Ovis aries: one gene and its partner. The protein of the gene in region 1 binds, or shares a complex with, the protein of each later gene. Links are inferred from orthologs where the notes say so. Each region holds a gene or a part of one and is shown on either strand. Other genes may lie near its edges.

Region 1 (4,486 bases):
GGAGACGTCAAAGACCCCACCCACGGCGGCCGTGTCCACACCGCCTGGAGAGACAGCCAGTTCAGCGGGGCTGCGTCGGGGGCAGCCCCAGGGGAGCGTGCTGCCGCCTGGCACCCCCTACTCACCTGTGCCTCGCTTCTGAAGCCGCAGCCGCTTGAGCACCTCAGAGAACTTCTCGTGCTTGCCCAGGTGGGGCAGCTTGATGTGCACCCCGGCCCGCAGCCCCGTGCCCAGGTTGGACGGGCAGGTGAGGATGTAGCCCAGGTGCGGGTTCCACATGAACTCGTAGTTCTTAGACTTGAAGAGCGTTTCAATCTGGAAATGGACGTGTGAGAGGGTAGGCCTGGCTGAGCCACCCGCCCAGGGGACCAGCTGGAACAGGACCTGAGGCAACAAAGACCTGGGCTCCCCGGGGGGTTGATGGGTCACCTCCATCTCTGCCTGAACCCTGGGGCCTGGCCCTGACCTGGGTGAGGCCGTTGCAGAAGCGCGTGAACACCTCCTTCATGTTGCCACCCTTCTGCATGGAGATGACCCGCAGATGGTCCTCTTCGTTGATCCACACCAGGAAGGTCTTGTTATCGTTATGCCTGGGGGAGGGGCACAGTCAAGTCTCCTCCCCGGACGAGGACACATCCAGGAACAAAACCTCGCGAGGCCCCCGAGCCGGGGCACTTCCCAAGTAGCTGAGGTGCTCACTCCAGCTGTCCCTAGGGCCCCGGGGCTGCTATCAGGACTCTAGCCCCATCAACACCCTGGGCGCACACAGGGCACTTCAGAGAGGGCACGCGAAGCCCTGAGCTGCTTCCAGCTAGCCGGTCAGGCACCCTGTGGTCCCCACCTAGGGGGTGAGGGGCAGAGGCAGCCCGCCCCGCCCACGGGGAGTCGCTTTATCTCGGCGCAGACGCCCGGTGCCTGCGAGCCCGGCTCCCCACCCCCACTCGAGGAAGCGTCTGCGTCACCCCGCACCTGACCGACTCCCCGCGGGCGGCGGGTGGGAAAGGAGAGCGCAAACAAGGAGCCGCGGCTCCCGGAGGCGGGGGGAGGGAGGAGGAACGCCGGCAAGACGGCCCCACCCGCCCGGGGCGCTCCGCACCTGCGCGGTCAAGGTCTCCTGCGAGGAGGCCGGCACCAAACCCACCTGAGGAGCGCGGCGCCGCCCTCCTCCCTCAGGTACGGCGCGGGCGGAGGCCGGGGGATACGCACCAGATGCCGCGGGCGTCGGGCCAGTCGCGGGCCATGCCCGAGGCCAGCAGCAGGGGCGACACGGGCTTATCGAAAAGGAAGTGGTCGTCGATAAGCTGCTGCTGCTCCGCCTCCGTCATGCTTTTGAGCGCATAGTACCTCCCCGCCAGGTCACCGTCCAGGCTCGACAGGGCTGCGGAGGAGCGCGCTCAGGAGGACGGGTGGACTCCTGCCCCACCCCGCACCCCCAGGATGCCCGCTTGGCCTGGCTGGAGCCCAGTCAGTCCTCCCGGTCCGAGCGGCGGGCCGCTCCGGAGCGACACGGCCCAAGCCGACCATCGTCCGGCCCCAGGGCTCTGTGGGCGCGGGGCTGGGCGTCGGTCCCTCTGGGAAACCCGAGACGACGGACAGATAAGAGCGCGGCGGCTCGGGTGACTGGTAAACAGGCCGGCAGGGCCCGGGGCCGAAGAGCGCCGCTCAGCGGGCCGTACCCTTACCTTCGACGGCGAGCTTCTCGATGGCGCGGCGCTCCCCGCGGCTGCAGTGCGGGGGGAGGCAGAAGCCGCGGATGCTGCGGCCCGTGCGCACCCGCGAGCTCAGCACGTAGTTGGGATCCAGGTCGTCGCCGCCCTGGGGGCCGTGCAGGGCTGAGCGCTGGGCAACCCCTCCCCACCCAGCCGGCCCCTCGCCCCGGGCCACCCCGCACCTGCAGGTTGTCGGGGTTGAGGTCGGTCTTGTGCTCGTCGGTGGGCTTATAGCCTCCGTGCCGGTCCTCAATGATGGGGTCAAACAGCTCCTTGAACACGTCGTACGATTCCTCGTCGCCGGCCACACAGCCCACGGTCATGATATAGGGGTGGCCTGGGGGGAGCGTGGAATGGGGACAGTGACGTCACTGCCAGGCCCGAGCAAGCCACCGAGGACCCTTCAGATATGCGCGCAAAGAGGGCGCCCGGACCTTGGCCCGGGGGGAGCCAGGGAGCGGGGGCGCTGGGGCCCAGCCTCGGGCTCCTGTCCTGACCTCGGGACTGAGGCGCGCGTACCTGGGTTGTCCACGCCGGTTTGGATGACGTCGTCCACCGTGAAGCCGCTCGGGGTGCTCTTAGCGCGCAGCTCGGCGTACAGTTCGGGGGTCAGCACCTTGGCCATGTGGTTGTTGTGGCCGCTGAGGTCGGGGAACTCGTCTTCGGCCGGGAAGCGCAGCTTCAGCGTGTTGTGGCTATTGGAGAAGGGCATGGCGGCGGCGGGCTGCGGGGAGACGCGGGAGTCAGCGGGTCCCGAGGCTCTGGGCCTCCTGGTGACCTGCTAACCACCCAGGGCCCCGGGCTCCGGTCAGCCCGGTCTCGGTCAAGGTCAGAGGGGTCGGCGCTTACACGCAGGGGGCTACCACAGCGCCCAGGACCCCCGGCCCAACTGGCGCGCCCACTCCAGGCGGCGGACCCCGGGAGGTCCGGAGCGCGCGACACCCTGGCCCCAGCCCCCAGCTCCGTGCACAACAACCCCCGCCTCGGTGCCCGCGCGCCCCCCACCCCGGGCCCCCGGGCTCACTTACTGAGCAGTCGGGCAGGGGCGGGGGCTCTAGGTTAGTCTGCAGCTCAGGGCGCGGCGCAGGCGAACAGCGGCGGCTCCGCGCTCCCGCGGCTCTTAAGGGGCGCAACGCAGGCCGCCCATTGGCCGCTATTTATAGCCCATTCATTCCATTGGGTCGCGCTGCGGGGTGGTGCCGCCGCTTTGTCCGCCACCCTCTGCCCCCGGAGCCCCCCCACCCCACCCCGAGCAGCCCACCACGACTATCCCCTGGCCGGGACCCCGCGCAGCCTACCCAACCCCACCTCGCGCCCGCCAAGATCCCGAAGCCAGAACCTCAGGCCCTCGGACATTCCGGATTCCCCCACACCCACGCCTGCCTCCGAGCGGGAAACCGAGGCAGGAGAGCCGGCAGGCACTTGAGAACGCTCGGCCTGGTCGGCGCCCCGGCCCCTGCCTCTGCCCCTCCCGCTAGTCCTCGCGGTGGTCGCGGCGAGGGGCCAGGCGGGAGCCGTCCCGGGCTTCAACGGCAGGTACCGCCATCCCCCGACGCCCAACAACCCCCCCCCCCCCCCCCCCACCCCAACCTTCTCCCGCCCAGTCTGAGTTGGCGGCGAGCCGCCGACCTTCTTCAAGGTGCCCGCAGGCATCTCCCCGGCGATCTTGGTGCAGAGCGAAGGCACGCCGGAGGCGCAGCCTGGCTGCGGCCCAGCCAGGCGGCACCCTTGGTGCCGTGACCTTGGGCAAGTCCCCGGGCTTTGGGGTCATCTGAGCCTGAGACTCAGCCCCTCCTGGTTGATGAGCGAATACTGACTGCGGCCCTGCTGGGAAGTGCGCAGTCTCAGAGCCCCCAGCCCCAGGCCTGGGCCCTCTCTTCCAGGGACAAGTCCATTTCCACACCCCACCCCAAAGGTCGTCCTCAGAGAATCTCCGCAGAGGCTGGAGGAAATACTCACATAAGCACATGTGAGTTTTAAAAAACAAAAAGCTCACTGAAAATCAGAATCATGCAATTCAAAGTAATGACTATGCCTTCCACTGTCCCCAGCACCCCAGACTGGCACCAGCCAGTGTTGGCTATGGGCTGGAATGTGGGGAGATAGGCATTCACAGGCTGCCTGCCACTGTGAAGTGCTACATCAGTTTTGGAAAGTAATTTGGCAGTATTTATTAAAACGTAAAATCTTTGTACTCCATGACCCGGTGACCCGGCAATCCCACTTGTAGGAATCCAGCCTACAGTCTCATCTCTCTGTGCACATAGGCCAGTCCTCTCTAGCATGAGGAACAAGCACAAACAGACCTGCATGTAACCGGATGCCCATCCCTTGGGGACTGGCCGGGGGCAGGGAAGGCATCTCTCCAGTGTGGAATATTACACGGCTATTAAAAAGCGTGAATTAGGGACTTCCCTGGTGGTGCAGTGGATGAAAGTCCAGCGACCAGTGCAGGGGACAGGGATTCTCGCCCTAGTCCAGGAAGACCCCACCTGCCCAAGGGGCAGCGAAGTCTGTGCGCCAGAACTACTGAGCCCCGAGGGCAGAGAAGCCACCGCCAGAAGAAGCCCGCAGGCCGCAGCACAGAGCAGCCCCTGCTCACCGCAACTAGGGAAAGCCTGAGCGCAGCAACGAAGACCCAGGGCAGCCAAAAATAAATCAGTAAATATTTTTTTAAAGAGTGAACTGGCGCTTTTATGGTTAATGTCCATCATATGGTTGCTTTGTGAACAAAGCAAGGAAGGGGGGAAATACTTATCTATGTGTTTATTCAACAA
Region 2 (3,802 bases), on another chromosome or scaffold:
TTTGCATACATCATTTTTAAAGTATTCATAACCAACCTGTTAGGGTAGGTGAAATTGTCCCCATTTTACAGATGGAAATTGAGGCTTTGAGAGAAAAGTAGCTGGCCCAAGGTCACACTTTTAATTAGGTGATGGTGCCCGCATTTGAACTCGGTAATCATTCTGCTGTCCTCTCTCAGATTTCAGTCCTGGGTTTGAAATGAAGATAGTGGTACCATTCAGAGAATCAGGTCTGGCAGAAAAGGAGCTCTTTTCAGGAGAGTTTGGTTGACAAAGGCTAAATTTATGTCATGAGCTGGGTCTCTGGGTGATTATGTCTTAGCAGGGAATTAGGAACATGTACTGGAGCTGGGGATTTAGATTTGAAAGCAATATGTAATATATAGAGGGTATTGAGAGACAAGAAAAGGATTTGGGGGCAAATCCTTGAGGAAATGCCTGCATTAGGAGATGTAACGAGGAGAAGAACAGAGTTAGTGAAAGAGACAGAAAAAAAGGCAGTCAGAGACTGGAGATAATTTCAGGTAGAAGTCTGTGTTAGAAGCCAGGGCACAAGTTCCATGAGGTCAGGATGAATATGTTGCAGATTCAGAGATGGAAGGAGGTGGGGAACAGAGCAAGGCATACTGGATTCTGAAAGTCACTGGTGGTCTTTAAAAGCGGTATCAGCAGGATTCTGTTGGTAGAAAATGAGAGAAGGTATAAAAGTAGAGATAATGAGGATAGACTATTTTTGGAAAAAAAGGGGGGCCAGTGAAGGGATGAAGAGCCTTGAATGGGTGCTTCTCAGAGGGTCAGGACTGAGGGCTGGGAGGACTTTGAAAGCAAAAAGAAAGTGTACCTGAAGAGGAGCGAGCAGGGGAACGCATGAGATGAGAAGGTAGATGAAGGAAAGTCCTGGGGGTGGTGGGAGGACCGGGTGAGGTCATGGGCTATTGGACTGAGCTCATCAGTTTCTCCCACAGAGAAAGGAGCAATGGGAGAAAAGAAGACTGGAGAAATATAAAGAGATGTTAGGGGTGGAGAGGAGGGTAATGTAGAAAGCTCTCACATCAAATGGCTTTGACCTCCTTGGTAAAGTAGGGAGGAAGTGATGTGTTTGGATGAATGTGAGTGAGATGGAGGTTTGTGATCTTCCTTTCTGCTGAGTGTAGAGAAGGAAGTGATAACTGTGGATAGGATAAATGATAAAGCCTAACCTTCTTGTGGTTGGTTGGTTGTCTGAGTAGGCATATGATTTGGAGCTGAGACAGAAAGTTGCCAGGTACTAAGCACTATGTCACCCATGGGTGCCCTGGTATTGCACAGCCCCATGGAATCATCAGAACTTCTGACTCTACGCTGAGATTAGGGGACAGACAATTGATGACAGAAGAATTAAAGGTCAGCTATTCGATCCGTTTTTTTCTGAGAACCCACTGCAGACTGGACCCTCTCTGAAGTAATGGGTTAAACATTACCTTAAATGGTATATGATTCAGACTTGACAATATTTCAGACAAACTGCCTCAGTTCATTTCAAGTCAAAATTGCATATCTGTGATGAACTGTAAATACAGTCCTCAGTTGGCACAGGGAAGCTTAATTTAAAGGAACTTCTTTGTAATGTGAATATGTAATGAGTGGTGAACATTTTTGGAATGTAAATAATTTCTTTTTTGCTTTTTCATTTACCTGGATTTATGTATAAGCACCTAAATGATTTTGAAATGGCAGTAGTGGCTATAGGAGTATATTTGTGATAGAGGAATTCTGAATAAAGAATTCCTTTAAAGAATAGTCTTCTATCATCTCATGATCTGTAGCACAGAGAAAAATGCAGTTAACATTTTGCTGTGAATTTCTGGTGTATTCTACCAGTGTGTGGGGAAGAGGCTGGATAAACAGAGAACGCTGAGAGTGGGAAAAGAATGGATTTGAGAACAGATCTTTGAGAGGAATGCCTTGAATAAAATAATGACAGTAATGAAACAGAAGATGCTACACTGTGAAGTCCATGGGAAGTGCTTGTGAAGGGAATAAATGCTACAATTCAAATTTTTCTCGAGTCAAGGGGTTAGGGAGCATTTGTTTAATACAGATGGGATTTGAGGTTGTGAAGGAAGGGAAGATACAGCCCTATCCCTCCCTGCAAACAGCAGAGCTAGTATGGCAAAGTGCTGAAATGGATTTTCAAGTTTCTTGTTTACAAGCAGATTATTTTGAGTCTTTCAGAACCCCTTCCTAGACCCACCTTAAAAAAATATCTCTGGATCTGAGATCCTGTGAACTCAAGTGTGTGTCCAGAATGATGGGATATATCAAAATGCATGACTTGCCTGTCAGAGGGTAACAGCCCAAAGGACAGCATGACTGGGGGGCTGAAAAAAAGGCCCACAAAAGTAGAAGAATGTGTGTTAGGGATGATGGTGAGTGAGATAATCTAATAGAATGATTTTAGGCAAATTTATTCCAGAAAAATTTATTTATTCTGGGCTTCCCTAGTGGCTCAGATGGTAAAGAATCTGCCTGTAATGCAGGGGACCTGGCTTCGATCCCTGGGTTGGGAAGATTCCCTTGGAGAAGAGCATGGAAATTGACTCCAGTATTCTTGCCCAGAGAATCCCTTGGACAGAGGAGCCTGTTGGATTACAGTCCATAGGGTCACACAGAGTCAGACTTGACTGCAACGACTTAGCCTGCATGCATTCTGGGAAGAAAAGGTATAATATTGAGTTGACCAAAAAGTTCGTTTGGGTTTTTCTGTGACATCTTACAGAAAAACCCAAATGAACTTTTTGACTAACCCAGTATTACCAAGATGTTGATTAAACTATCCATGCTCTTAATTGACATATGCTAAGGAAAAGAACTTTGATTGTACCTGGTTTCTTCCTGTTAGGAATAGATTATATATTCTAAGATCAGGGAGTCTGTGGAGCCTCTCCTTGAGTTCTTTTGATGTTCTGCTTGGATTAGGTTCAGGATCCATCTCTTAGAGAGCACACTTTCCAAGAGGTTGAAGAACCCCACGACCTTTCAGACACTTTCTTGCTTCTTTAGCGCTAGACTACTGGAGTGAGAGTGTAAATTGTCCCTTTGCCTCTCTGTCCATGGAGGTTCACCTAATGCTTTGGACTGTCTTGGTCATGTTTTGCTGTGTAACAAAGTACCCTCTACGTTAGTGGCTTCATGTACAGACATGTATTCACAGTGTCTGTGGGGCAGGGATTTAGACACAATTTACCTGGGTCAGGGACTCTTATGAATCTGCAGTCAGAAGAATATATATTGGCTTCCCTGATGGCTCAGCATAAAGAACTCTCCTGTCAGTGCAGGAGATGCAGGTTCGATCCCTGGGTCAGGAAGATCCTCTGGAGAAGGAAATGGCAACCCACTCCAGTATTCTTGCCTGGAGAATTCCGTGGACAGAGAAGCCTGTTGGGCCACAGTCCATAGGCTCACGAAGAGTCAGACACCACTGAGTGACTGAGCACATAGGTGAGCCAGGTGAACTTTTGAAAGAATGTGGATTCATGGCTGAGCCCTACAGAACTGTTCCAGTGCACTCCTCACTCTGCCCATTTCCCTCCTCCAGGGGTGGCCGGTGAACCTCATCACGGCAGATCGTGTGTCTCCATTGCATGAAGCCTGCCTTGGAGGTCATCCCTCCTGTGCAAGCATATTATTGAGGCATGGAGCTCAGGTAAGTACAACTCAAACCCCATCTTCGACGCCACTACTGAAAAATGACTATTTCTATCCCTTCTAAATACTTTCGAGCATTTTTTATTAGCCTGATTTGAAATATGAAGAGGGTTTT

What was found.
Region 2: the proteins of CKB (region 1) and ASB9 are in contact, whole or in part, in a cryo-EM structure (PDB 6V9H), measured with the Homo sapiens proteins. The link is inferred for Ovis aries from reciprocal best matches to the Homo sapiens genes CKB and ASB9. Residues at the interface, in NP_001814.2 of Homo sapiens: Asn63, Pro64, Gly65, His66, Pro67, Tyr68, Ile69, Thr71, Arg130, Arg132, His191, Val198, Ser199, Pro200, Leu201, Leu202, Leu226, Trp228, Glu232, Ile238, Met240, Asn286, Arg292, Gly303, Lys304, His305, Glu306, Lys319, Arg320, Gly321; in NP_001026909.1 of Homo sapiens: Leu25, Asn27, Pro28, Leu29, Met30, Gly31, Asp32, Ala33, Val34, Ser35, Asp36, Trp37, Pro39, Glu42, Ile45, His46, Trp60, Ala67, Asp68, His69, Glu75, Ala100, Asp101, Trp102, Val111, Asp133, Leu134, Ser165, His166.

Annotation. Positions count from the first base shown.
Region 1 is NC_056071.1:65,893,209-65,897,694, forward strand, and holds the start of CKB (creatine kinase B-type), read right to left. Parts: upstream 2,806-4,486; 5' UTR 2,738-2,805; intron 2,434-2,737; 5' UTR 2,422-2,433; coding exon 2,229-2,421; intron 2,047-2,228; coding exon 1,892-2,046; intron 1,816-1,891; coding exon 1,683-1,815; intron 1,379-1,682; coding exon 1,207-1,378; intron 591-1,206; coding exon 467-590; intron 316-466; coding exon 126-315; intron 45-125; coding exon 1-44. UniProt on the Homo sapiens protein: Reversibly catalyzes the transfer of phosphate between ATP and various phosphogens (e.g. creatine phosphate).
Region 2 is NC_056080.1:13,444,412-13,448,213, reverse strand, and holds part of ASB9 (ankyrin repeat and SOCS box protein 9), read left to right. Parts: intron 1-3,577; coding exon 3,578-3,685; intron 3,686-3,802. UniProt on the Homo sapiens protein: Substrate-recognition component of a cullin-5-RING E3 ubiquitin-protein ligase complex (ECS complex, also named CRL5 complex), which mediates the ubiquitination and subsequent proteasomal degradation of target proteins.